2 linked regions of the Schizosaccharomyces pombe genome follow. Changing the gene in region 1 together with any one later gene gives a genetic interaction. Each region holds a gene or a part of one and is shown on either strand. Other genes may lie near its edges. The genes, in order: SPOM_SPBC3H7.05C and toe2.

Region 1 (11,302 bases):
TCATCCTCCGGGGTCTCGCATATTCCACTACGAAAGTGATTTGGCATTCGAGAAAGACGCAGGAATCCGGTGATTCGTCGAGCGCTACCGCTAGTCAAAGGCCGACAGGAAATACATCTAGTTGCCATGTGTCCGATTGAAGAGCCTAAAGACTTTTGTTGTGGTAACGGAGCTCCCAAAGTCACGTTTACAATGACTCTACTGAAACATTTTCGTAATTCCAAAATTGCCTGCTGAATCTTTGTGGAATCGAGAGCATGAGTACTTTGTAAAATATCAATATCTTCTATGATGATCGTGGAGTTTTCAAATTCAAAATCGTTTTCCTCCACACATTGGATCACAGGCGCGAAAACAGATTTGATGTGATTTTTGGTTTCTGGTGCTTGTACCTTCGAAGGCTTGGAAATAGGAGCAAATAGCATGCTGAAGCCATCGATAAAGAAGAAATTTTTTTTCGTTTTAATATCCATTCCCTAATATTGGTTCAGTAGGTTAGTCATACGAATAGTTTATCATTCAACCACTTATGCAATCGTAATCCCTCTTTTTACATACCCATTTACGCATACTAATTGCATGCTCATCTAAGGTTTTACTGAATGTTAAAAAACAAGTACTTTCCTTTGCTTTCAACGCATGGTATAAATAATAATGGAACAGAAATGTGACAGGTGTTTCTCTTGTTCCCAGTAGCAAAGTTAAAGAAAAAGGCTCAGGAATGGGGCGTAAATGCTCGTGTAAAGAAGACATTAGGTTTAAGAGCCGTTTGTCATTAGTTTTATAGCCTAACTACAGTAACCAGCTTTCCGAATGGTTGTAGAGGGTGAATGGAAAACACAAGCCTGGGAACGGAGCAACATGAACCAGAGTAAGAATGAACAAGCCGGTCAGTAATGCAAAGCTAGTTCTAATATTATAGAAGTTTCAAGTATCAAATTAAAGAAGTCTAATACCAAATTATTTTCCAGAAAACTATCCTCTAAATGTGGATAAGCTATTTCATTAAAAAAAGAAAAACTATCTACCTATGGAACATTGATTTGCCTAAAAGGCAATCATAATAATAAAAAAGAACAATAAAGAGCAAATCCCAATAAATTAGACTGGAAAGGGGTTTAGCTAAAGGAGGTAAAACCATCTATCTATCATATAAGTCATAAAAACAAGCAGCATTACTTTAAAAATAAAAGAGAGCAGCCAAATTAAATATTAATAATTCCAGAGATTGGTGAGAACAAGGAATAGTTTTATAAACATTTGTTTCTGTACATTGTTCTCTGTAAAGTACAAAGGGCGAGCTGAAGGGGTCGACGACAAGGATGAAAAAAAAGAACAAAACATTATCCAGGTAAAAATTTTGAAGAGGGGAGTAATCTTTTTTATTCCGGTTATTAAAACCAAATTAATTTCGGTACTGAAAAGTAAATTGGTAAGGGGAAGATGAAAGAGTGTAGCATATATGCGTGAGCGATTTGAGCATTATTGTCTAGCAAATAAAAAATTTTTATTTCTTATTTTCTTTGTGAAGCCAAGGCATATTACACGTAAGACTTCCTAGTGGGACGAACGTAACTCACATTTTTAGGACGACAAAGGACAACCAGAAAATTGAGCCATATGCTGTCATGAAAAGGATGTACATCTTCAGTTTCTGTACTCTTTGCTCGTAAGTATTCATGAACATTCTGACCAACAGATATTAAATAGCACTGGTAACAGAAAAGGATGCCAGGAAGTATTGCTCCAAGTGCCCCATAAATGCCAAGGAAGAAAGATACGCCAGCCCATGGACGACGAAGATGCGCCGCAAAATTTGTATCTGTGGATTCATGAAAACTTCCTATAGAAGTATAGAACCCCAATCCAGTTAGATACAAAGCTGAAAGAACGACAGATAACAAAAAAATAAAATAATATCTGTAGTTTCGACGACCAATGCAAGTGTTTAACCAAATGCAGTGATGATCAAGGTATTCAACACAATTATCACATAAATGACAATGGCTTGCACGTGGAGGACGATATAAGTGGCACGTATGGCAATAAACTGTATTAACAAAGACAGAGTCAGACCGAGTGGATCCAACAAGGACTTTACGGTCTTCAGGAATTACAGACCAGGGATGGGCAGGGTTATAAGTTAAAGAATATGCATTTCTAGGAAGAATTCCTGGATCAGCAGTCGAGCACTTGAACATGGAAACAACGGCTAAGGCATACAGGTAAGCAAAGGTAATAGGGACAGCGGGAGAGACATGATGCCAGAGCCAAAAAGCAGAAAAGATGAAGAAAAGGACTCCTGGAAGAATCAAGGCAAACAAGCTAATGAGGAAAGCTTTGTACTGAGATGACATTTGCAATCGACCACAACATAAATAGATATTGTTTCCTGGTAAATTCTTATATCGGCTTTCAATATGCGGTACTTCCGGAACATCATCAGGAACGGATTGAAATCTATAAGGAATTTGGTTCTTTTCTTCCAAATTCATGGGATACGTTGGATCAGACAAAGTCACCTCAAATGGATTCCATGGCTGATTCCACGCGTAGCGGGATGCCTTAGCATCACTGTGTTTCTCATAGCTCATGATTATATTCTCTAAACAACAAACATGGCAAAGAAACAGCTATTTTTACACCTGGTATTATATCTTGTAGTTTTGTTGTCGGTAAGGATATGAACCCCTTTTGCGATGGAGGGTGAAGTAAATATTAGCATCCGCCAAAGTTTGTTTACTAAGCAAATAAAGAAATCAAAATAAATAAACAATTAGAGAATGTGACTCTAATAACTAATATTTGGAATGGCGCCTATTTAATCGATGAGAGTGTATTAAAAAGAGAAGGGAAATAAAAACAGAATATGAAATGAAATGCTAAAAAAAAAAATACTAACCGAAGAAATAAAATTAATAATAATAAATAAAGTACTTATTTTTTTTTTACGAATAAAATGTAAAAAAAATTATTTAAGAGTGCCAATATATTAGTATTTATATTTTTCAAACTTTTTATTTAAATATATTTCATCGATACTGTAATTGGAACATCCTGTCAGTACAACAATTCAGGGCTCAAAGTTAGAAAAATCAAGTTTAATAAATTATACTATCCGTGCAATTTCGGGTTTGTAAAGAAAGTGGATAATATATGGAAAAATTAGTAATATATGACTCGATAAAGACTCCAAAGACTAAGATAAAAGACCAATATCATGGGAAGTAGACTAGCTAGTAAACCATTTTCATCTTGTGTATTATGTTTTTTTTTTTTTTTTTTTTTTTTAAAATGGCTAAATAACTAGCAGGAAAATAATGGGAGGGTGTAATTGAGAAAATATTAGAAATGAAGGTACGGAAGCAACGAAAAAAGATCTTAAAAGTTTATTAGAGTGTTGCAACTATTGAAATTATGATTATCGCGAAGCTATTAATGAAAGGGCTAATTTAAAGGATCATCTCTATACTTTCACTAGCCCCGAAATAACCCAATAACCTCTATGGCTTGTAAACAAATAACTCAAGAAACACGGTATATGGTCAGTTATGGATGAAATTTTGAAGAAAAATTATTACTAATCTACATCTAAGAAAAACCATCCTGGCTTCATTCACTGTATTTAGTGGAAATGTAGTTCACAAGATTATCGAATTAGATTGTTATTCCTCAATATGCATGACTCCAAGCGGTCCTTTGGTTTTATTTCCTGTTTTAAAGGGAAATGAATTAAATTCTTATTCCTTAGAAAATCTCAATGACGCTTTTAAACGTACTTGTACATTGGACCTACTTTACTGGAGAAACATTTGCGGTCAGCAACTACTATTAAGTTACTAACCTCATGGCAGCTAAATTTTGAAAAATGACTATATTTATTTATAATGGTACGAACCATTTTTATTTGTTTGCGAAGTTTTTTAGTGTTCTCTTCTTATTATTTACAAATATAATCTTAGGAAAAGTTTAGTAAATAAGTGTCCTAACAAATTCTATAGTATAATACAAGGGTAGAGGTAGTATCTGAAAAGTATTATAAAACTGTATAAAGCAATATAAATACAAGGGCGGTTCGATCCCGATTGCAAACGCTGGAAAATCTAGAAATATTGGAAAGTTGCTTCTTTCACCACTTTAGTAGAAGGAGTTGGTGATTATTATGATATTATTATCCATTCAAATTTGAATCTCTTAATGCGCACCGTTGCTACGTCTTGTCTGCGTCAGGTGGCGATCCCCATAAATATTGATGCTTGTCATAAATGTTGCGAATGTTCGCCTACGTATTTCATTTTGACATTTACAATCATAAAAGGATTTTAGATCCTTTCCATCTCGAAACAATTAATCAAACTATTCAAGCGAACAAGAACTTTTTATTTTTGGAACCATCATGTCAATTATGCGCTCAATTATGTCGAACCGCCTGGTTCGCTGGTCAAGAGAATATCCAGAACTATTTGTAAGCTCAATTTTTTTTTGAAAAATATATTGAGTTGATTATTTCGTAAGCTGATCAGTTTGCTGTTAGATAACTTGGTGTGTCATGACTTATACCTTTGGAGTTGCTGGTTATATGCTTGGTATGTTAAAAATTAGTAGAAAATTAGAAATCAGCGCAGTTAATGAAACATTATACTCAATTTTAATATTCTGTTAAAATTTTCCTACAGAATATTTATTTTACAAGCGCATTTACATATGATTGTTTAAATTAAATGATTGTAGCTAACAGTTTTTTAGGACAGCGGGGCTTGTTGGTACAACATGAAGATCAAGTCCGAATTCCTTCAAAAAATGCTCACCCCTGGGAAGACACCAAAAGCAGTAGCGGAAAAAGTGATGAGAGTCTTGATTATAGCTACAAGTATTATCCTCGAGGAGATAGGAGTAAAGAACCTCGAAAGGCACCTTCTGCTATTCAATACAGCACTTTTCCCGTTAAAGGTGTATCAGAAGAGGTACTTGAGCGATTCTCTAAGTAAAGCACATTAAATTGTGTATAACCTTTTAGGAATGAAAGAGAACAATTATTACATTGCCAAATATTTTTTTAGTGCTTTTTCACTTTACAAATATCTCACTCTCTACTTTATGGTAGGCTCTCATTTTTGGAATATTTGCCCTGATATATTGCAATATTTCCAAACATCTTCTTAGTTATGATTTCTTGCTTTATTGCTTTAATGTATAAAAAAAATATTTGCTTATTAACCTGTGTTTGAAAACGGAGTTTAGGCACCACTTTACCAACTTCACAATTTATACAGCATTTTGAAGATAATGATAAATTTGTAAACAATAACAAAAAATAAGCTTGTTTGAGATTTTCAAATAACTTAAATTGACCTAGTACTTGTTGTCGTTTAACGTTAAGCTTAATCAATAGCCGAGTAATTAGTAAATGGGACTTGCCGAAAACAACGCTTTTCAACTTAGAAAATTTAGCAAACCCACTCATACCTTTTAATAAGCATGGTCAACGCAGCCATAGTTGTTTCCTCAAATCGTCCAAATGTGCTTGAACAGATTTCCTCCTTGTTTAGAGATGGGAAGACTCGTTCTCTGGGGGAACAGTGGACTTTAGTATCAGGCCAACTTAAAGGAACGTTTGAAGATGCTAAAGACGCTTGTAACCGCATTTCTGCTACTGAGAATGTAGACTGTAATTGCTTGAGTGAAGCAACATTTTCCACTAAAAAGAAGCTTGTAGTATTTGACATGGACTCGACGTTGATTCAACAAGAGTGTATTGACGAGCTCGCGGCAGAAGCAGGCATCCAGAAAGAGGTTGCTACGATTACATCTCTTGCAATGAATGGGGAAATTGACTTTCAAGAATCACTTCGTCGTCGCGTTTCTCTACTACAAGGGTTGAGCGTCGATGTCATAAATAAAGTCATTGGCAAAATTACTTTCACTCCAGGAGCTAAACAGCTTTGTCATTGCCTTAAGCAAATGGGTGCGACTCTTGTTGTCGCTAGTGGTGGATTTGTTCCAATGGCTGAATATGTCAAGGGACAACTGGACTTGGACTATGCATATGCCAATGTACTTGAATTTTCCGATGATGGTAAATTCCTCACTGGAAAAGTTCAAGGTGCAATTGTAGATGGACAACGAAAAGCTTCCATTTTGCGTGAAAAGAGGGAAGAGTTGGGTTTAAATAAGCTCGAAACGATGGCTGTTGGGGACGGAGCTAACGATTTGGTCATGATGGCCGAATCCGGTTTAGGAATTGCGTTCAAAGCTAAACCCAAAGTTCAATTATTGGTATGTTCGAAATTTTTTTACAAATTTATGTTTTTAATGATCTTACTAACTCGATTTTTTTTTTTAATTAGGCTGATTCGAAAATCAATCTTCCATCTTTGCAAAACGCTCTTTACCTCTTGGGTATTGATGAGCAACAACAAAAAAAGCTATTGGAAAACAAAAATTAATTTAGAATTTCCAAGAATTTTTCAATCGCAAGGCGCTGTCAAGAACTCTGAGCTACTGTGGCTTGGTTTTTATAAAGCAATATTTTACTTGTGCGCGTGGTCTTTTTTTCTGTAGTAGGAGCCGTCTTTTATATACCCTACTTCTTTATTTTTGATACTCTTATTTTTCTTTTTCCTTAATTTACAATTTTGGTATGATCAATGCTTCATTGGAAAGGGTGTGCAATGAATGCTTAAAAAAAAAGGGGCAGTTCAGAAGCTTTCTTCTTTAAAACAGACAAGAATTACTCAATTGGTTTTTATAAAGCCGATCATTTACTCTTAAATCTGCTTCGTTATGCTGATAGACTTTGAAATTGATTCGTGCAATGACTACACCTTCGTTTCATAGACCTTTCTTTATTATCATTTATTAATTGTAAATAATACAATTGTATCTAGTTATTAAGAGTTGCAGAAAACATGTGCTTTTGACGTATTTCAACACCGTTTCCCTTGTATATATTCAGAGGTATTCATATACTACTACCCATGCGAGATTCATTATGGCTAAATCACCATTCCTGGAGCTTTCTTACGATATATTGCTAGAAATTAGTACATATCTTGATTATAAAGATATAGTTCATTTGTCAGAAACATGCAAGTCACTTTCGTATGTTTTTGACGACAAAACAATTTGGCATCGATTTTGTGCACGGGTCCAAGGTCTCACCAATGTAGTCCCAGTTGTTGATGATAATTACAAAAGACCCTATGCTGTATGGAAAGACCGAGGATACGCTTACTCATGGGGGCAACAGATAAGAAACTATTTGGGCCGCGTCGTCAATACAAATCAGTATCCTCGAGATCGTCCTGGTGCATTGACTGGGAAGGACGTTCGTTCTACTATTCAGGTTCAAGTTGGGTAAGCGCATAGATACAGGAATTTATTTGACTGCACTACAATGACTAACTATTCCCTATGCGGAATTTAGAGGTTATGGGATGTATTTATTAAATGAAAACGGAAATTTATATGTTACGGGGGTACCAAACAATGTTGGGCCCGAATTGATGAGAGATTTAGAGCCAATTGTGAAAATCCATGCTGGTCGAGAGTTTTGTCTTGCACTCGGTGAGACGGGACACTTGTATCAAGTATCTCTAAAAACACGAATTTGCTTGACAGATGAACAAAATATGCTATCAGCCTATCGCGGAAGAATTGCTAATTTTAAATCAGGTTGGGACTCGCATTCGGCGTATGTGCCGGGCATTGGCTTTCTTGTCTGGCACACTGGACGAGAAAGTGAAGCGCAACTTTTCCAGCCAGAGGCATCGATGAAGGAATTCGTGCTGAACGATTATGTTCACTGCGCAGGATTCCTAGTGTATACTGTCGCATCACCTCAGAAAAAAGGCGCCGTGTTTCGTTTAGACCTGGACCAAGCTACACAACACACGCTAGGAAGAGAATTGAAGAGGTTCGCTTCGCACGACCCCCATCAAGGTTGGCATTTAGCAGGCAGCTTTGAAACTTTCACATGTTTATCGGACGATGGCAATACTGTTTACATGGGTCATGCTAATACCAAGCAGGTCGATGATGACCCGGTTATCCACGACTTTCTCCAGAACCGAGGAATTAAGCAATTGGCGCATGGCGATCATCATCATCTTTACTTAACAAGCGATCATTCCATATGGTCGTGGGGTGTTGAATTACGTTATTGTGGGTGTTTAGGTTTGGGTTCTCTTCATTTGCAAGAACAGACATCTGATCCCAGCATTGTTTCTGATCCACGCACCGCACGCAACATCGTTTCCATTCCACATCAAATTCACTTTTCAGGAACTTGCTATTCAGTTGCAGCCGGCGGATGGCAAAGTGCTGCTCTCGCCATTTCGGAATCTGTTTTACCCGAAGTCAATGTGCCTCCAATTACAACTTTTTCTATCATCCGACCATCCAGAGTTCCAGCGTTGCGCTTTTTAGCTGCCCCTGCGACTCGGACTTTGGAAAGGGACGGCTAGGTGAAATAGTGATCAACTTTGCTTGGTAAGCTAATTTCCGCGTGCGCACTAGAGAAGGATTTTATTTTGTCCGCTAAGTAAGTGAAATAAATAAATATCTCGGCCACCTCGGACTTCCGAATTTATCTCTATTTTTACTAATTCCTCTAGGTAAGCCAATTATAAAAAAAAGCAGCACAAGGAAAACACAACGGTGATTAAATAAGTGAGAAAATTTTTTTTCCTTCTTCCTGTATCGCAATTACATAAAGTACACACATTGACCAATTTATATTCCTGACCCCTGTGAATTAAGTTACTGTGCTACTACGACGAGTTTTTACCAAACATTATTATTTTTTTTAATTGATTTGGACTGTAAGGAAGGTTACCGATTTTCATATTAAATCCTCGGTGGTCAAAATTTGTTGGGCTCTTGCTCTCTATTTGTCGTTTGCGTTGGTGGTTTGTAATATTCCTAACCACCCCATTTTTTTCTGGCGACCCTAACTTGGGGGTTTTGTTTACAGATCCAGGTGTCGAGAAAACCGGTATTTTCAGGCAGAAATCGATCTTAAGAGACGATTTTTTCTTGTTGGGTTGACTACCTTGTACCTGAAATCTGTTGTGCGAAAATTTCCAGATTTAAAAAATCGTGGATTGATTGAAGGGCAATTGAAGATTACGGGATGCTATTTTCCTTTTCATGCAATTAGCAAGTATTACTGATTTATTTGTAATTCCACAGTGTCTGATTTATTTTTGTTAACAACTATATTATAACACTTTTTTTTCTTTGCCTTCATCATCATCATCATCATCATCGTTGTTCTTTGTTTCTTTCAATAAGCATTTTGTCATTTTCTTTTATCATTATTGTCTTTTTTTCATATTTTTGTCGGTTGACTGATTGATTGTAAATAAAGTCTCATAGTTATATAGAGTGTGGTTTGCCTTTTCTTATTGTTTCGCCTTGTCTTGTCTTGTCTCGTCTAGTGTTGCTTGTATTGTCTTACCCTATCTGTTCTTTTTCTTCACTTTTGTTTTAACTGCGAATTTTCTTTCTTACTTTTTTGCTTTTCTTCCTTTCCTATTCCTCCACTATAAAGTTTTCGGCGTTTGATCATCTACGAACACGATCTAAAATTCAATTACTTTCATGTATCCATTTTCTTTCGATCCTTCTTCCAAACTTCCAGTCACAGGTATTTATAACATCCTTCTGTTCAATCTATTCCCTTTAGCTACATACCTTGTCGAAACCTTTTGTTTTTTTCGCCGGTGGAAAATCGCCTGCACTTTGTTATGTTCCATCACGGTTATACTGGCGTATCGCATGTGTGCTGTCTATCACCATGTTGGTTATAAGGATGTCTCTACATTTGGTTTGGCATATGGCTTTCTCATTATGATGTCGCTTCGAACTTGCTTTTTGAGTTGGCGAGATATGGTACCTTCTCGCAACGATCCTGTACAAATCAGCGCTGTTAAGCGTCGTCGACCATTCATTCGTAACGCTAGGTGGAACTTTGTTGATTATGCACTTTCTTTGCGCAAGTATGGTTGGACTGACGACGTGGTTCCCCCTTACTGTAGAAAAGTGCTGACTTACAAATCTTTGGGGATACGTACTGCTGTCTATGTGGGTGCATTTTGTTTTGTCAATTGTTTTAAAACTCGTTTATCCAATTGGATGTTGCTTCCTATATCAGCCAACCCATGGTATATTCAAGTCGCATTTTGCGTAACCTCTGGATTCTTTTCATATTTGTTTATTAATGCCTTGTACTATTTATTCGCCATTATTTTTGTTCCTCTGGGAATTTGGGATATTGCAGAGTATCCATTAATGATGGGAAATGTATCTAAAACCACCTCGGTTAATGATTTTTGGTCCAGAGATTGGCATGTTTGTACCAAGCCCTATTTCAGAGTGATTGCTTGGGATCCAACTATTGCCCTCACTGGAAGTAAGTTTCTGGCAAGTTGTTCATGTTTTTTCCTTTCAGCATTATTCCATGACTTTGCCTATTGGTCAATTTCTGGACGCTGTTCACCTGCTTTCTTTTTTCAGCTTTTAATTCAACCTTTCCTTATTAATCTTGAAAAAAGGATTCCCCTCTTGCGCAAATATCATTATTGGGTCCTAATAATCGAAATGCTTATTAATGGAACATATGGTATGGGAGTCGTATTATTAAAATTTAAGTGGAAAACATGCTCGCAAATTTAATTTACTGTTTAATGTCTATGTTTGACCTTCCGAAACCTCTAAAGTATCAGATAATTGCTATGTGTCCTAGTTTATACATTTAATGGATGGTTCAACTAAATTAACTTTTCCGTAGATATTGTTGGAATGTTAAATAATATATAGAGGGAAACATTACATTTAGCATTCTAATTCTCATTCTTTGCCAACAGTAATTACAAAACTTTATTTATTTATAAGATTTGTTAATAGTATGGGTTTTTTCAATCAGATAAAGTGAACCCATAGTAAGCCACCATGATCACTTGCATACAAAACGTAGCCGGGAGAGGAGGGGAGAGAAGTAGAAAAAGATTGAAAATTGTGCAGGATTCAGTCGGGTTAGCTAAAGGGATTCAATGCGCGTAGCTTGGAATCTATTGTTGACGACCGTCCAATTGATCATATCCCACCATTTTGTAATGTACATTTTTTTACCATTTAAACCATAGTCGTCAAGATACGCATATTGCCAAAGGTTAACGCATAAAAGCGGTACAATTGCATTGGTACGAAACTTAGGAAATCCTGTTCCCCAAAGAAAGGCATTTGACGCATTGTACGTGCATAATAAGGAAAATAAAGATTTTTCTGGACTATATACCAA
Region 2 (18,088 bases), on another chromosome or scaffold:
AAAAAAGTAGGCTTATTTGCAGGTATGGAGCGAGTAGTAGTTAAAGTAGAGTTATACAAGGGGGGTTGCGGGTCAATGTTAGGTTTGACACTTAACGCCGGAGAAGAGGGGGAAGAGGGAGAGGGAGGAAGTTGAGGTGGATCTTCTGAGGTTCTTTCAGGTTCTCTTTCATCAGTTGATCGAATAGTACTCCTTGAAGCAGATTCTTGAGATCTACTTCTTCTCCACCGCCGACGACGAAAAAAAGATGAGTGCTCTTCAACAATAGGCGGATCTACATCAACGTGACGAAGAACTTGAGTTTGAATTCTATTTTCTACGCGGTCTTGGCGATATCGCCGATAATTATCAAACCCTTCACGAAGGATTGCAATTGAAATAAATATAAGTAGAGGGATGATTGTAGTGTAAGTACCGGTGGTTGACCAACCTGGAATCATTTGCATAATAGCAATCAGCAAAAAATAACAGTTGGCAGTTTTTGAAAATTGAGCAATGATCTGTAAAGGGACAAAATTGTATTTGTTGTACCGAGACGAAACAATGCTGTTTTGCATATAGGGCTTTCCTGTACGCTCATCAATTTGGGAGGAGTCATCGTAAGGGTTTATGATAATTATTCGACCATGACTCGACTTCAAATACCGTGTATCACGCGAAAACAAGTTGGATAAGAAATTGGAAATGAACTGCAAAGGATTTGGTATTGTAAACTCTTTATGCCGCGACTTTAAAAATTCCGGAGGAATTGGAGGACGCCCATTGAACACAGGTGATGCCTCACGAGGAGAAGTAGGCTCAATATCATCTAATGGGATTTCTTCCACAGGTCCCTCTAGGAAGGAAACATGTGCTTTCTTCTTTTTTCCCTTTCCTTTCGAGGTCTGCTCAGTTTTGGTAGATGGAGTTAACACTGAAACCATAGAATTAGCTGTCAGTTCTAATACCGACTTGAAAGATGATTTCAGTCTGCTATCTGATGGCGAATTAACATCGTGTGATTCGTCAACTTCAACAGAATCCAATTTTTTGCTGTCCCCATTTATATCAATTTCATCAAGCTCATTTTCATCAATTCCTAATGGAAGAGCGCTATCCTGAAATCGTACATGAATATCCTCTCTTCGTTCGTTAGTGCCATCATCTGCAGCGTTCCAATTAAATGCACCATCTTCTTCTCGATTAGTCGTTTCATTTAGAAAATTTGTTTCAAATCCATTGGAATCGCCTGCGATACCACTAGACTTCATAAGTGCATCTGAACAAATAATGTTGGTTGTTGCTAGATTCACACCAAATGGAAAATCAAACTATTATTTGATGGTAGCTTGCTGAACCACACGGGACATTGTGCTACGCCTTACAAAATGAGACTACACTAATAGCAGTTCATTAAAGTTAAGCTTAATGAACTCCACAGTAATGGCTTACGCTTGCTTAAGACTTTCTAAATAGTGTGTCAAGTCTCGCAATATGCAATGTAAACAATAAGTTACAGAGATTTTGATTAACTGTCAGTTACTTCAACTACTACCGTTTATATTTAAAAACTGACATTGTCAGAATTTTGTTAACTATCGACAAATATTATTAGATGTTAGTGTGAGAATTGGAGATTCTCAAAGCTAGCAAGTTGTCGTAAACAGCATCTATACAGTAAATATCTTAAAACAAAATTATACTATCCAGCTTGTAAGTGGTTAAACTAAGCAAGTCTTTCTGTAAGCACAAGGTTTTTAATTCGTGAAATTGATTAGGTAAAATTATGTTTCTGATGCGAATTCGGTTTTTTGTGAGTGAGCCAGTACACATAAACTAAAATCTAAAAAATCCGCTTGAACTTATCAAATAAGTTAAAAATTATTCCCATACTATAGTGTAAAAACAACGGTATAAGTTATTTTTTGACAGGTAAGTGTATTGCTAAAAATAAATATAGTATCCTTTAGAACAAATTAAACTATATCTATAAAAAAGTTTAAACATCATTGGGTTTTCATTCAAAGCTGTGCTTCTCTATTTTTCTTTCCCTTCCTTTTTTCGGGAAGAAACAATGTAGTTGAATATTAATATTAACAATACTTTACTTGTTCGAAATAATATCTCAACAATAATCAAGTGTAATCACATGAGTGTATAGCATGTTGAAAATGCTTCGACAGTATGAGGGAAAGTAATTCATGTAAATGTGCATTATGACTGTGCCGAATGTGTTAAAAGCTCCCGCTAAAAGAAGGATACTTCTCTCACTAATTTATTTCTATTCATAAACTACTAGTTCTGGTCTTCATAAGCCAAGAGAAAATATCCATTGGTTAGTAAGGAAGAGTTTACTTAAAACGAGCTTGCCAATGGCACTTGTATTTTCTGCTTCCTTAACCCCTTCCATAAAAGTTTTCCAGAATTCCAAAAACTGGGCAATATGGTTTTCCGCAGATCCAATGGTTGGGAATTCCTTTTCTATTATTTCATAAGCCTTCTGGATGTTTTCCTGTTGAGAACTGGCTTCTTGCTCTTTTGAAATGATTTCAAAAAAGCGCTTGACAACAAAACCTGAGACAAGGCTACCATTTATGTTTTGAAAAGGTAAGCTAAATTGGTTAGAAACTTTAAATATAAACAAAAAAGGAGAAAGAGAAAAAAACACGTACGTTTTTCGGATAAGTTTAGGATCTATTTTGCTTTTGTCGACGTTTCTGTTCAAGATGACCGAGGCAAGAATCATGGCCATGAGTTCCTTCAAGTTGGATCCGAAGCTAGTTTGTAGCTGATAAAACTGTAATAAATTCTCATCAACTATAGAAATTTTACTAACTTCAGGTCTCTGTTTTATTGGTAGAAATGTTGCAACCTTTGCCAAGAACTCTGTGGCAGAAGTTATGGATAAATCGGCGATGCTTGCACTTGAGGAGGAAAGTAAAGAGGGCTCTTTTAATTGTCTTAGTCTAAGAAGCTCGAATAAAACAACAACGGAAGTTTGGTTCTGTAAGTGACAATTTTCCAACGCTTTTAACAAGGGGCATCCCCAAGATGTTAATTGATGAGATGTTAAAACGAAAGATCTAATTTGCAAAAATCTGTAGCAAGAACTTAAGACGATTTCCGCAGTAGAAGACAGAGGATGCTTGGGAGGGTTTTTTATGCCAATATTACCTTCAGTGCAAAAGCTTTTCTTTACAAATACCGGATCGTTCAAAGCACGTAGTAGATCAAATAATACAACGGGTTCTTCCTTTAAAAAATTACTAGATAAATAACTCGGTAAGTTTTCTTCGTATATCATCCATGCTCTCGTATCATTATACAAAGGAGGATCATAGCTGTGCATTACCTTCAAAGAAGCTTGCTGATTATGGCCATGAAGGGAAACAATATCTCTGGCTTGGTAAAATCTGTTAAGCGGTTGGGTCAATAAATTTAGCCCCTGCGACCATATTTCTTCTAAATCGTCAACAAATCGCCGTTGATCCACAGCCGCTACAGCTGCTGCATTGTCGCGACCAGGATTTAAACCAGAATTAGCACCAGAAAATGTTCCTTGTGATGCTTTGTCACCAATATGTTGTTCAAGTATGGAAACAGGATCACTAAAACATCCAGATACTAAAGCACCTATCATTTTGCAAGGAATAAGACCGCGAGAAATGTAAAAATAAATCTCGTTGGGAAGACGGGTGCCAAAATATATATTTATGTCGTTAGGAACAGATTCTGTGGGAACTGGTGGTAAAGTGAGACCTTTTGTATCCATCACAATTCCAAACTTAGAGAAACAAACAGCCCTTTTGTACTGTTGAAGATAATCTTGAAAAATGGGCTGGGGAAAGATTTCAGCAAAATGAAGGACTGCACGATACGCAGAACCAAACATACGAACAAGCTCCATTGCGCTTTTAATTAGAAAAGTACCCTCAATCTGAGGAAATGTAGGAGAAATAGCAGTACCACACAATAAACAGGAATCGATGAACTGCTGCCATGAAAGGCCGTTCGTGTCTTGAAGAAGGGCATTTCCATCTAACCATGTGAATGAACTTTTAGCGGCCGAATTGATAGTTGTTTGAGTTGATGGGGATGAAGGGTCAGATGAGATTTTAACGTTAGAAGATGTGTTCATAGAAGTAATAAATTTTTTAACACCAAAAAGAAGCAGATCCGTGGAACCATAGATGGCATCGATGTAAGGTGAAGATGTGCCGTTTAGAAAATATGCTAATTGAGCCATAGCCAGATACGGGGCGACAAAATACTCCACATTACATTGATCTAAGTAAAACTTTACCTGGTCGCAAAGACGATCTAAATGATCTCGCTGATTGGTGTACAAAAGTGTTGGTTTACTTTCGCCGTAATTCGCAGGACCACTTGCGTCCATGCGGTACATATTACGCTGAATATTTGCATCATAAGGATCAAAAGCTTCGAAATCTGTCAATGCACTATGACTTTTTTGCTTTCCCGGCACTTCCAGCTGGCTGCTGGCTTCAAAGGTAAGAGGTATACCATTGAAAACAAAAATGGGTGTGATATTCTCAGTTCTCAACTGCTCAAGGAATTCCGAAATTCTGTGTTGTAGATATTCGGATTCACCATTTACTGCCAAACTTTGAAGTTCCTGTGGGGTAAAGGAATGAATAATTTGAGTCAAGTAAAAACTTGCGTCAATACCCAACTTACAGTTTTGAAAACTGCTCAAGCTAGATTTATGTTGATGCTTTTTGTCTATGATAAACAAATTCAATGAACGAACTAAAAAATTAGCAGATGAGTAGCAAGGTATTTTAACTTACTTGTCATTTTTTTTCTTTTTTTTAACTGAATTTACCAAACAGCAGTTTAAACCGTAAGGCGGTTTTTTTTTACTAAACCTTTAATAGATCCTTAAAAACAAACAGATTATTTTTATATGTAACGGATATATTCAGATTTTATTATGTTGTACTGAATAGAGGTGTCCGATCCGTTTATTAGAGTCAGCAGGAACGAGCAAATTAGTGAACACGAATACTACGATAAGAAGTTCAGAAAATATTTTATTAAACTAACATGATTTATCTAAAAAACATATAACTGTTGGCGAAATGTAAAGATTTCAAATAAAAACGACGCAAAATGAAGAAATTTATCCATTGTGACTACACAAAGCGGTAATGTTTCCAATCTTTAATTATAGAGAAAATAAGTATATTAATAACTAAATAAAAGGTAAGTTGATATACAAACGCAGCCAGATGCCTGAAATCCAAAAACAAATACGTACATATATTGAGATAACTGACGGATATATATTACAAAAGACAAAAACATGCCGATTGATCAAAAACAGCTTGAAAAGAAAAATCGACTTTTAAATGAAAGTAGAGTGGAAATAAGTAACGAGACAACGAATGTAAATAAAAATCGTTCTTAGATACAAACATCATTTCTTTACAATTTAACTGTTCACTTGATATACACCAAAGCCACTGGGGGTTTTTATGGTTTAGTACCAAAATTATTTATAAATAAAGAAACGTGCGTTTGAAAAAACAACTTAATCCTTTTGGAATTTCAAAAAGAGTTTATTGGTTTGCTCCACGAAGGTAAGACAGAAAATTGTGTGAGGAGCGATTCTGGCCAAGTGAGCACCAAAACCCTTATATAAGGCAAAGAATCCTTCAGAGCGGATTGTTTTAAGGATGCAATCAATCGGATTTTTATAAAGCTCCTTGTTCTTTTGGTTGTACATACGAGTCATAACAGTATCGAAAATTTGCATGGTGCAGCATACACCAAATCCAGAAACAGCACTAGCAGTTAAGTGTTTGATCATACCCTCTTCCAATAGATTGTAATGCTCAATCATGCGTTTAGCCCAATTATAGATAGGAAGCTGAACAGAGGAACCAGAGACAGTACGGAGAATGGCAGCATCAGCACCAACAAACAAACCCTTAACACCATTTTCCTTAATAATACGACTGAATGCATTAAATATATGCTTGTAACCATACTGCTGGCCAACGGGAAATTTAGGAGAATACGACTGCATGCGAGTCTTAACCAAGAAAAAGGGAGAGCCAAACAAGGCACCACATAAACCTGAACCGGCGCCACTTGCAACGTTAATAGCTAATTTATTACCCTTGGGATCATCAAGGAACCACGTATTCAGAGTACGTCGAATCGGTTCGTAAAACCCGAGACGACAGCCATTGAGGCAGATTTGATAAACATAAGCAGTACCAAGGCCTCGTTGAAGACCTCTTATACCTTCATGTCTAGCGATTAGAGAAAATGCCTGACCGACGCTTTTGTAAATTCGCTTAGAAGGATCCAATTTTGTCAATTGACCTTGAAGTTGAAAACGCGTTTTAATAACTTCGAAAGGATTTGTCAGTGTTACAGCACCACAAGCTGCAAGACCACCTGACAAAAATCCACTAACGGGACCAAGTTTTTTCACCTGAGTAGGATTGTGTGCAGGAAGGGCTTTGATAGTTTGTTTCTCAGACATGACTTAATATTGGGATTTTTTCTTCGAATTTAAACAAAAAAATCTGCCTCAAATGGCAATTCAATTTGCGTAGCAAGTGTTGGCCGAAGGAAAAAGAATTCTTGCAGTTGAGATTTTTTCAGTGATAATAGCCTTGATTAAATTGTGCGCGGAAAATTTACCATTGCGGCAATTTGGGAAGGCAAAACGTAACTTTCGTACGGACTCAAAAAATAAGCAAAATGATACTAATAAAAAAATTATAGATTGAATTGCAATTTTTTTATTTACAAGGCACCCTAATTGCTCTATACTTTTTCCATTTTAATGCTAAATTAAACAGGTCACATGTTACTTATGTTTACTATTTGAAAATACAGATACTAGAACGCACTTAACCTCTTTAAATTAAGGATTTACCTACAATCATATATATTTTTTTTTTCTTTCTCTGTCCTACAAATATTTGGTAGAATTTTAAAATTTTTTGAATAAAAGTCATTTGAAAGTTTGAGTAATGTTTGTCAACAATAAATGCGATCGTTCGAAGGAAGGAAGGTACACACAGTTAACATTTAACTGACTTTACACTTTAAAATAGGATTCGTTGGAAACGCATGGTAGATAATGTTAAAGTAAGACAAATGCAAAATCATAGTAGCAGTAGCTTTAGATGTCATTCACTTCTGCAATGTTGTACTATTATAAAGAAAATGCCATAAAGTGATTCAAATAAGTGCATGCTCTCAACCGTCTACCCTTAACCAAAGTTCTTACTCAGACAATTAAGATGCCTTTTAGTAAGATTTTATACATACGGGGTATAAATTGTGATCAATGAAAAAAATGCAAGTACTAAATTTGATGGATAGTTTGTCGCAAGGCAGGCAATTGAATTTTGAAATAGAAATCAGTCATATTTAAGAATGGTAATTTGTTAGTAAATGCATTAAATCCCTGTGTAAATTATATGTTTCTATTTGAGTGCTTTACGTATCTAACGCATGTTATCCGAAAGCTGTCTGCTGTTGAGATTGCTTACTATTGAAATTAGTGGATATTTATAAAAGTTGTCCAGTGTGCCTTGTGTTTGGTGTTACGAATTTACTTTTCGCCAACATCCAAACACAAGTGTCTTTGGTTCAAAATCAGTATAGCAATAAGATTTAAAGATATAATTCTTGCCTATTTAAAGCCAAGACTACTTTTTTATATATTACGGAATTAACTTCTTTTCGCTCCTGTCAATTGGTCGCAAGTATCATTTTTTTGACGTCTATTGATTCAAGAATTAGAAGAATCTAGCATTCAATTGTACTTTATCTTTCACAATATTATATAACTTGATGTTTAAGAAGAGCATATGAGTGAAACAACCAAGTCTGGTTCTAAAAAATCAGGGCAGACATCACGTAGGGCGATCCATTCGTGTTTGGCTTGTCGAAGAAAAAAACTTAAATGTGATCATGGAAGACCTTGTTCCAATTGCTTAAAGCGATCAACAATCCAGTCATGTATTTATATAGATCCTGGGAAAACTAATTATGACAAGCGCTTTGAACGGGGTAGCGAAGCTGACGAATTGATAGATCAGTTACTATCCCGAGTTAGCATGCTGGAAAAACGTTTAAATGAGGTCGGCACTAAATCGCAATCTGATTATGAAAACCAACAATCTCATAATCTTCCTTCCACGCCTTCGGCAGATGCTGAGACACAGCGAAACATTGGTTCTCTTTCAGTATTAGATGATACAAAATCACAATATGCTAACTACTCGTCCTCTTCACACGTACTCTGGCATTTAAGGAATTATCATTATCTTAACTTAGATCAAGATATTCAAGAAGAAAACGATTCTCTGATTAGTCCGTTTTTTTTTCGAATATCCCCCAATGAATCTGCATACGACTATTTACCCCCCAAAAAAGTATCGGATATTTTAATTGAGCAGTTCTTTTTTCGGTGTCATATGCTCATTAATGTTTTACACAGACCAACTTTTTATGTACGATATAATGATTTTTGGGAAAAACCGCACTTGCGAAAACCAGCTTTTACTAGTTTATTATACGCAATCTATGCTAGTGCATTACTAGCTACACCTGTTGAAGTGCAAAAGACATGGGCGCTTGGTGAAGACGAGAGATATCTTCAGGTAGATTATCATCAAGCTTTTCGCTACGCACTGGCTTCGTCTAATTTTCTGTTTGAACCAGATCTTAATGCTTTGCAAGCTCTTGTTCTTTGTCAGGTTTGTGATATTGAAATGGGTTTAACTAACTCAATTTAGGTTGTCTTTGATTCTGACCGCATTCGCGCTCCACCTTCCTTAGTCGGCTTGATTCTTCACGTAGCGCTATGCATGGGCCTTCACAGAGATGGCTCGCTTTATGGACTTAATCCGGTAATTTCCGAGATTAGACGTCGTGTGTGGGCGAATATAGTCTTGTCGGATCTTAGAACTTCTGAAACTATTGGTTATCCTCCTCAAATTGTTGAGGGAAATTATGATACACGTCTTCCCTCTGCTTTACCTGATGAAATTCATAATGTAGATTCTTCCGTTATTATTTCTGAGGCCACTTTTGTTAACATTATCACGAAGGTTTCACGAGCATATTCAAAGTGTTTGAAAGTTTTGCTAGGCATTATAGCTCCTAATTATACACGTTTATTAGAGCTTGACAGGGAGCTTTCCAATTTTTTTAAAGAATTGATAGAAGTGAATATTCCAACTAGTAATACTATGCACGAACGGCATATTCGACTTTTAGTTTCCTATTTGTCAAACAGATTCCCAATTCTCTTGCATTTTCCGTTCCTTTTAAAAAAAAATTCTGCACAATTCGCCTACAGTCATTCGCGTGCTTTGGAGTCCGCGACTCTGGCTTTAAACCAGCTGTACGAACTAGGCAGCAATCCAGAATACTCAAAGTATTCATGGTATCTTTGGAGATATCCGCCGTTTCATCCCTGCATCGTGCTTTTGCTCGATTTACTAAATTCTCAAAAAATCATTTATTTGGATGATGAACGAGTTGTTCTTTTAAACAAAATATTTTCTCTTTTTCCTCGCAGTTCTGGTAAAGAGCATTATCAAAAAGCCTGGGCACTTTTACAAACTTCAAGGGCAAAAGTTTGGGAAAAGCTTGGGTTGAGCACTGTCGACGTATCGACCACTGATGTGAGGCTTACAAATTTTGAATTTTTTGATGCTAACAATCTTGATATCAATTGGGTATGTATTATGTGTTTGTGTTTCCAGCTAACAACTGCTAGGATGATTGGGATGCTATATTTCAACATTGTCCATTCTAAAGCTTATTGCAAATGTCTATTTTTTATTATTTTATTTCGTCACATTACGCGCCAATTTTGTATTTAAAAATTTATTTATGCCAGTTCTTACAATTACAGAACAACTACGTCCGCTAAAGCGATAAGGTTAGTGAAATGTCAACTGGTCAGATTTAAAGAGTTATTTACGTTTGTTTGTTGTCTTATAATACGCTGTAGTTTATCTATCGAAAATAATAACATAATAAACAGATAGTTAAATATATAAATGCAGCAACAAAACTGTGAGTAAAACTATAGGATATAAAACAAAAAATTAAACTCACTTGTCGTAAGTAAACTCTGCATCCTTGTAATCTATCAAAGAGCGAACACATCTCCATTTCAGTTCTGAAGCTTTATCATCCTCTCTCCAACGCCATGCATCTTTCCATTCTTCAGATAAATCCCCTAAAATACGTTGTGCTATGTATCTGCCAATATTGGGAAGAAATTTGAAAGCATGTCCGCTATCTCCGTTTGCGACAAAAACGTTATCAAATTGAGGGACCTTGTCAATAAGGAAGTTTGCATCTTCGGTGTCAGAAATCCAACACATCTTCGTGTTTATCAGGCTGCGGTCTGCAAGATCAGGCAAAAAGGTGTCAAGGAAACGGCGCATTTGAATAATGGCATATTTTGGTAGACTACTTTTAGATGGTCCGGAATGAGGAATGGAAACAACTTTTGAGTTTTCGTCGTAGTCGGTCTCAACGTTACATACGTATTCATATCCGGTGCTGGCCAATTTTATGAGCTTTGTCACAGGATAAGGAGGGAAAGCATAAGCGCAATCTGGATCAAAAATAATAGGCATATTTTTGTAAGTCTTAAATTCTTCATCGGTTAGCTGAATATGCGCGACCGGTAAACCCTTAGCACAGACACGATGAGAAGTATTTAAATAAGCGTTCAAATAAGCACCAACAGCTAGTAAAATAGTATCAGCATGATATATAGTACCGTCCTCTGTTTGTACTGATACATGATTGTCGTTTTTATCAATATCAGTTTCGGAATGATTGACCACAAATTTTTTGAATTTACCGGCTTTACCAAAAACAAACTCAACTCCTAGCTCCCTAGCCTTTAACTCAAGTAATTTTAGAGAAGCAGCTGAATTCGCATAACCAGCGTGTTCATTTACGACAGCTTGCATGTCTGAGCGCAGCGGTGAATTAGAAAAAAGTGAAGGATATTTTTTTCTTATTTCTTCTGAACTGGAAAGATTAATAAGAGCAGAGTCTCCTAAAAGCTTTCTCAAGTTTCGTTGGGCTACCTCATCGAAACGAGCTCTGTATGGGTCTTTGGAAATGGTGCTTAAGCGGCCGCATTCGAAATAAACAGAGGACAATTCTGGGTCATTTCTCCATTTTTCCATTGCTTCCAACGCCAATTTCATATACTTAAGATCTGCATATTCTGGCCGAACAATCTTGTTGATATCGTTTGCTGCAGACATGCTGGAAGGAACGGGTTCGGCATCAATAGCAATGATATTATCAAAGGAATGATTTTTTGCCAATTCAACTGCAGTTGAAAGGCCAAAAACTCCACATCCAACTATGACAATGGTTCTCGACATGGCTCAGTGGGTACTTGATTATGGCTAACGGAATGAATAAGGGAGCCATCAACCTCGTGGTCTATGCAATGAACAATTTTAGCATCCAGGCTTCTCGCAATAAATTTATATCAATCAGTCACAATGAGAACAATATAGTGTTGCAAAGATATTGATTGATTGATTCATTAGCAAAAAAAGAAGCCTTCATTCAGCTAGATAACCATGTAGTAATCGGTTCCATTTGATTTTGTAAGAAAATGGTTAAGAAATTATCCTCAACATAGGGTAAGGTACATAACAAAGATCAAGCAATTCGACCAACAAAGGAAGCAGAGATGTCTCAGAAATTCTTCATTATTTGAATCTCCAATTTAATGCATTATTAACATAGGCACGTGCTATTCGTTTTAACAATTATTTAGGCACAACGGTATTGGTGTTGCTGGATTGAGCGCAAAGGATGCAAACGTAATGCTGTGCTGCGTTATATGTTCCAGCTGATAGTTTTAAAAGCCTAAGTTTCTTTATTCGACCTGCAAATGCCAAGTTGCGTTACTGTATTATAAATTTTGGACTGATTCAGCTCTGGCTTTATGTTGATCTGATAAACCGAATGAGCTAGCAGGATTGCAGCATTCATTATGCTGTTTCCTCGTCCTCACAGTTAATATTAACTATCTTCTTCCTTATTTGGCAAACCAGTAAGGCATCACAATAATCCGCTTTCCATAAACAGCGGCATATGAGTTGCAGAGCTTTGTTTACCAAATACTGTATCGTAACGAAGAGCAAGAATAGAGGGCTACGTAATAAAAAAATCGCCGCTGTGCTAATGCAATCGTTACGTTTCATTTAAAAGCATCAATCCATATCGTTATACTAAATCAATGTTTACAAAATTCGCAGAATGTTGCTAAATTGTAATGCAAACAAACTATTGTATTAGTAAAATATTATCTTTTTGTATGTCTGGTTCATGAAAATCTCTAGAAAAAAAAAGTAGTAAATTTTTCTTCCACCTTAATAACCTAACCTATGTGTCAATAATAACCCAAGTTAGTCTCGCATTATGATTTCAGTGTGACATAAATCGACTTTTGTCAGTTAAGTGATAGTTAAAAAATAATTAAGAAATTTATGAATTGTTGTTGCATGGAAAATTTTCTTGGCACACCAAACATATGAAAATTCGTTTAATGATTTAACTGCCGTCTGTCTGAGTTTAAGAAAATAATAAACCTTAGCAGAAACCAGAAGTAAGAAAAGAAGGTATGTAGCATAGAAGATTCACAGACATAAAGCCGATATAGCTTTGTATGACAATGAAAATTTAATGGCAGGATGAGAAATAGCAAAATAAATCAGGTTTGAGCTTTTTTCAATTGTTGCGCATGTCCAATTTTATTTTATTTTTTTTTGTCAAATTTTTAATTGATAAAATAAGATATCACCAAAAATAACGAGTATATATTGTCGATCTTCATTCTTCAAAAGTGATAAAACATTACAAAGATTTATTCAATGTTAATTTTGTAAGCATTTTCATGTTATGGGATTTTTAATCATTTACTTGTTTTTTATTCGATACTACAGATTAATGTTATTTGCATGGTAAATTGTATAGTATTACTTTAAGCGCCGATCAGTAATAAAGAAATTTTAAAGAAATTATCGATTCTTTCATATTCTTCCAAAAATTACGTGCCCATATCAATCGGACATGCTTCTTCCATTGCTGCACTGAAAAAAAAGCCATTGTGTATTCGTAAAGCAGTAAAAAATGGAAACATTGCGATTACAAAATTTTAAAACTATGTAAACAAACGGTGAATGCACTGTATAAGATCCATGCAGCATATACCAATTGAGTTTTTTATTTTTTTTTGGGTACTATATGATAATTGTCAACTTTAAAATAAAAGTTGGACACCATATGAATAAATGAATTTTTAAAATTAAATATGAAATAAAATATATGGAAAAAATACGAAAAAAATTGATGGTAAATAAATTAATTAAAATTAAATTAAATATGTAACTTACTATACTGATAACTTTAATAATCGTTAGAAAAGCAAGGAAAAATTAAGCACGGATACCACAAATGTTTAATTTTATTTTTTGATAAAAGTTTCAATACTATTTTAGTTATTTATTTCACTCCAATTATGTCGCTAAAAAAAAAAAAAAAAAAAAAAAAAAAAAAAAAGAAACCGCATTAATACAAAATACATTTTTTAATATGAAAAGCGAAGCGATTTTACCCACTGTTCTTTTCATACTCATTCACAGTAGCTGTAGCTTATATTACTGCCATTCAGTATAGTAAAGTCGGTACATATTCACATATGGTGGCACTCAATTATATGATGTAAAAAATGCAATTCCACCAAGTTCGCTATATACATCATTGAAGAAGACGGGAGCCGTAAGCTAACAAACCAGACACTATGATTTATAAGTTAGTCTGCCGATATTTACGCAAATTCAATACGCCTTTCTTTTTTTCCAGGGGAAATGTTTGCATACACCAAGAACATGATGTTGAGACGTAAATCTAGTACGGAAAACCAAGATGCATACGTTATGGTTTGATCATTAAATGTCTTGTTGAAAAATTATAAATATGCATCGTTTCTCTCGATGTTTACACTACATTAAAAAAAAGAAATCTGCAGCTTAATTTGAAAACACTAAAAAAACCTGCATTCTTCTTTTTTCCACGAAAGATCTGTTGCTGCTTACGCTATTATTTGTTATTATTATAAATAATAATAACATTTCTATCGATAACTTCGTTTCATATAGTTTTTAACATTTACTCCTTCCCACTTTTTTGTATAATACTCTTCAAAAATGGCCCCTCAATTCAAACGCCCTGAGCTCTTTGGCTTTGATAAGTCTCATGCTCAATCTTTTGTTCAAGGAAAATGGATTTCTTCTCCTAACAACAAAACTTTTGAGGTTGATAACCCAGCTACTGGTGAAATAATCGGTAAAGTGGCCGATGTCTCAGTAGAGGAAACAAAAAAAGCCATCAGTGCCGCTAACGAGGCCTTCAAAACTTATAAAAATTTTACTCATGTCCAACGTAGTCAGTTATTGGAACGCTGGGCAGAGCTTATTATGGAGAACAAAGACGACTTGGTCAAGATGCTTACCTTAGAAAACGGCAAGCCTTTGAGCCAAGCTGAGATGGAGGTCACCACATGTAGCGGATATCTTAAATGGTATGCTGCTGAAGCCGTTCGTACCTTTGGCGATGTAGCTCCTTCCAGCTTACAAAGTCAAAACTTTCTCATCTCCATCAAACAGCCAGTTGGTGTCAGTGCCTTGATTACTCCTTGGAACTTCCCCGCCGCCATGATTGCTCGTAAAGGTGGTGCCGCTTTGGCTGCTGGTTGTACCGCTATTTTCTTGCCTGCTTTCCGCACTCCCTACGTTTGCTTAGGTTTAGTCAGGTTGGCGCAAGAGGCCGGTTTCCCTGACGGTGTCTTAAATGTGATCACTTCTTCTGATGCATCTGCTCATGGTAAAGAACTGACTACCAACCCTATCGTTCGTAAGGTTTCCTTCACTGGTAGTACTAATGTCGGTAAAATTCTTATGGGACAAAGTGCCAGCACAATCAAGAAGGTTTCAATGGAGTTAGGAGGTAATGCCCCTTTCATTGTATTCCCTGACTTCCCCATTGATCAGGCTGTCGAATCTTTCTGCACTATCAAGTTTAACTCTTGTGGTCAAGTTTGTGTCTGCCCTAACAGAGTTTACGTTCACAAGAATGTTTACGACGAATTCGTCAGCAAGCTTACCGAAAAAGTCAAGACCATTAAAGTAGGAGATGGATTTGACTCTTCTTCTGCTGTTGGCCCTTTGATTTCTCAAGATGGATGCAAAAAGGTCAGCAAGCACATTGAAGATGCTGTTTCAAAGGGTGCCAAAATCACTGTTGGTGGAAAGGAGATTTCCTCAAGCAAAGGTTATTTTTTTGAACCAACCGTGCTCTCCGGTGTAACTCAAGACATGTTGGTTGCTAGCGAGGAAACATTCGGCCCACTCGCCTCTGTCTTCAAGTTCGACGACACCGAAGAGGTGATCGAATGGGCTAACGACAGTGATGTTGGCTTGGCCGGTTACGTCTTTACCAATAACTTGTCCACAATGATCCACGTTGCCAAAGAACTAGAGGTGGGTCTTGTAGGTGCCAATATCGAAATGGTTGACGAACCATTTATTTCCTTTGGCGGCATCAAACAGAGCGGTTTTGGCAAGGAAGCCGGTCGTTTGGGCGTTCAAGAATTTATGGTGGTTAAGGAAATCAATCTCAAGACTCTTTAAGGATTTTCGCTTTAGAAAGCTGCATATTATTGAACAAGCAATGATGTCCTCTTTTGGTTAATGACTAAAAAATCCTGATGTTATGACTGTTTTACATGTTTGCGATACAAATCGTATTTTAGTTTAATGATATCAAAAAAATTTAATACCTGAACATCGTGGGTCATCGATGAAGAATGGATTGTTGTGTCAGAAAATCTATACTTGTAGTTATTGTTCTGAGCAATCTGAAAAGTTATAAAGAATTGTAGGTTCTAAAATTGGCAATACTGGAGCTAGAAATCTATATAATAGTAAATATTTTTTAATAATAACAGGTGTAGCACGTGAAATTTTGCGTCGCCTTGTAGTTTGTTACTTCCAACTAGACACATGTATTTTTTGTTGTTTGACTTGAAATAGGGTCAGGTATTCAATTTTCCGTATGCAGTGATGAGTGCTGTTGATGAATGGGTACATAATGCCAATGAATGCATAGAAATTGTACAAGGTATGCTATGTTAAATTATAATGTTTTTACCTTGTGTTAACACCTGTCAGTAAACGAAAAGCATGAAAAAGATTGTCAATACCATCCTAGCAATACATATGCAATATTTGGAGATGCTGAGGTTATTTATGGATATAAAGATCTAAATGTCACTGTAAGATTAAATCAGCAAGTTTTAGTCATGAAATTTGATTGCAAATAGTAACAGTTATTAGATAACCTATGAATGCCCATTGATGGTCCCAAAACTGGAAATCTCATATTCAGAGCGCCTAGCACCAGATTCAGGAGTGGAACCAACTGATATTGAAGGAACATTAAACACTTATCTAAAAGATCGTTCCATTAAGGTTGAAGGAAACTCATTTGACGTTCATTCGGCAAATAGTATTCATAACTATTCCTTTAATGGAAAAACATTCAAGATTTTACAAGTATGTTCGATTACCTTTCAATTGGAGAAGTATTCAATTATTGAATATCCCTATATGTTCTTTGGCTAATAATCGTAATGTATTAATAGGCAACGGTTCTTGAAGCTAGTGAGATTATGCAGCATTTGCAAATATTTTCCTTATTTTTTATTGAAGGGGGCTCTTTTATTGACCTTAATGATCCAAGATGGATGGTATATTTACTGTAAGTTTGTTATTTTCTACGCGTCTACTTTCCTTTTACCTTTTTATCGAGGTTTTATTAACAAAAATAAGTTACGAGACTACTGAAGATGATTATTGCTTACGTGGTTATTGTACTGTATACAAATATTATAAATGGGACAAATTAATTCACGATGGTATTCGAGCTCGTATCTCACAATTCGTGATTTTACCCCCTTTTCAACATCAAGGACACGGTTCGCAATTGTACAATGCTATTGTTAGTACCTTTTTGAAAAATCCTAAAATTTTAGACTTCACAGTTGAGGATGCATCGGAAGCGTTTGATAGCCTTAGAGACCATTGCGACTATAAAAGATTATTATCAATGGGAATATTTTCAGAACCTGACTTTCATCCCTCTCTTTCTAGGCAGTGGATAAACTCGAAAATAGCTGAAACAAAGTTAACCCAGGTTCGTAATTTGCTAAATTTACCATGCAATGCAACTTACTAATTGTCTTTTTTTAGCGTCAATTCTCACGCTGTTGTGAATTAGCATTTACAACGAAACTAAAAAAGCTTTCATTATTGGAGCGGAAATCTGTTAGACTAGGAATAAAGGAAAGGATTTTTCGTCAAAATCTTGATGTGTTGCTACAGTTGGATAAGTCCGAACGTATTGAAAAAATTCATAACGCCTATGAAAATCAGTTTGATGAGTATAAACAGATTGTCAAAAAGCTACCCAAGCTTAAGGAAGATTCGCCTCGAAAACGCCAAAAACTTGCTCAATCTTCTTCCTAAATGAAAACACTTTTAGAGATCTGAAATACTTTGAGAATATTGAAGGCATATTAGCATAAAAAGTTATGAGAATCGACTAAATTACACTATTGGACGCAATTACTTTTTATATAATTTGCTTTTGAAAGCTTTCGCTTGAAATGATTAAAGACATTTGAAACAGTGATCATTTTAATAATATAAATTTTGTATATATTTTGCAAATTTAGTGTGATATCTAGTTTAATAAAATCTATAAAGGCACCTTATAAAAATTCAAACAATTCCTCATAATGAACTGCTTTTTCCAAAATTTAAATATTTTAATATCTACTATCAATAATATTGGTTATTTTCAACGACCAGTACAACTTTAGGTGCTTGTCATTCTCATCCGTCCTCCTTCCTATTCCGATCCCGACTTTGTTCATTACCTGACACCCCGGATAAAGTTAGCTCAATTAGCAAATTCTCATTCGATCTTATAAAGGAAT

The links.
Region 2: of SPOM_SPBC3H7.05C (region 1) and toe2, changing one suppresses a phenotype caused by changing the other (phenotypic suppression), as found in Schizosaccharomyces pombe (one study listed by BioGRID).

What each region holds. Positions count from the first base shown.
Region 1 is NC_003423.3:1,864,856-1,876,157, forward strand, and holds SPOM_SPBC3H7.05C (uncharacterized protein), read left to right. Parts: upstream 1-8,943; 5' UTR 8,944-9,603; coding exon 9,604-10,677; 3' UTR 10,678-10,802; downstream 10,803-11,302. Other genes in the region: elongator complex subunit Elp6, read right to left, coding at 1-476, 559-753; palmitoyltransferase Erf2, read right to left, coding at 1,542-2,594; SPOM_SPBC3H7.08C (uncharacterized protein), read left to right, coding at 4,397-4,465, 4,535-4,586, 4,747-4,988; phosphoserine phosphatase Ser2, read left to right, coding at 5,479-6,276, 6,348-6,446; F-box protein Pof9, read left to right, coding at 6,992-7,356, 7,427-8,465; SPOM_SPBC3H7.04 (mitochondrial 37S ribosomal protein mS42), read right to left, coding at 11,042-11,302.
Region 2 is NC_003424.3:1,014,079-1,032,166, forward strand, and holds toe2 (protein toe2), read left to right. Parts: upstream 1-7,591; 5' UTR 7,592-7,838; coding exon 7,839-8,729; exon of another isoform or gene 8,730-8,768; coding exon 8,769-9,716; intron 9,717-9,757; coding exon 9,758-9,796; 3' UTR 9,797-10,057; downstream 10,058-18,088. Other genes in the region: dnf1 (P-type ATPase), read right to left, coding at 1-1,250; post-transcriptional RNA stability regulator Mkt1, read right to left, coding at 2,288-2,591, 2,652-4,749, 4,791-4,797; oac1 (anion transporter), read right to left, coding at 5,534-6,496; fap2 (L-saccharopine oxidase), read right to left, coding at 10,098-11,399; ssd2 (succinate-semialdehyde dehydrogenase), read left to right, coding at 14,238-15,719; histone acetyltransferase Hat1, read left to right, coding at 16,152-16,209, 16,260-16,363, 16,425-16,643, 16,733-16,848, 16,920-17,283, 17,340-17,615.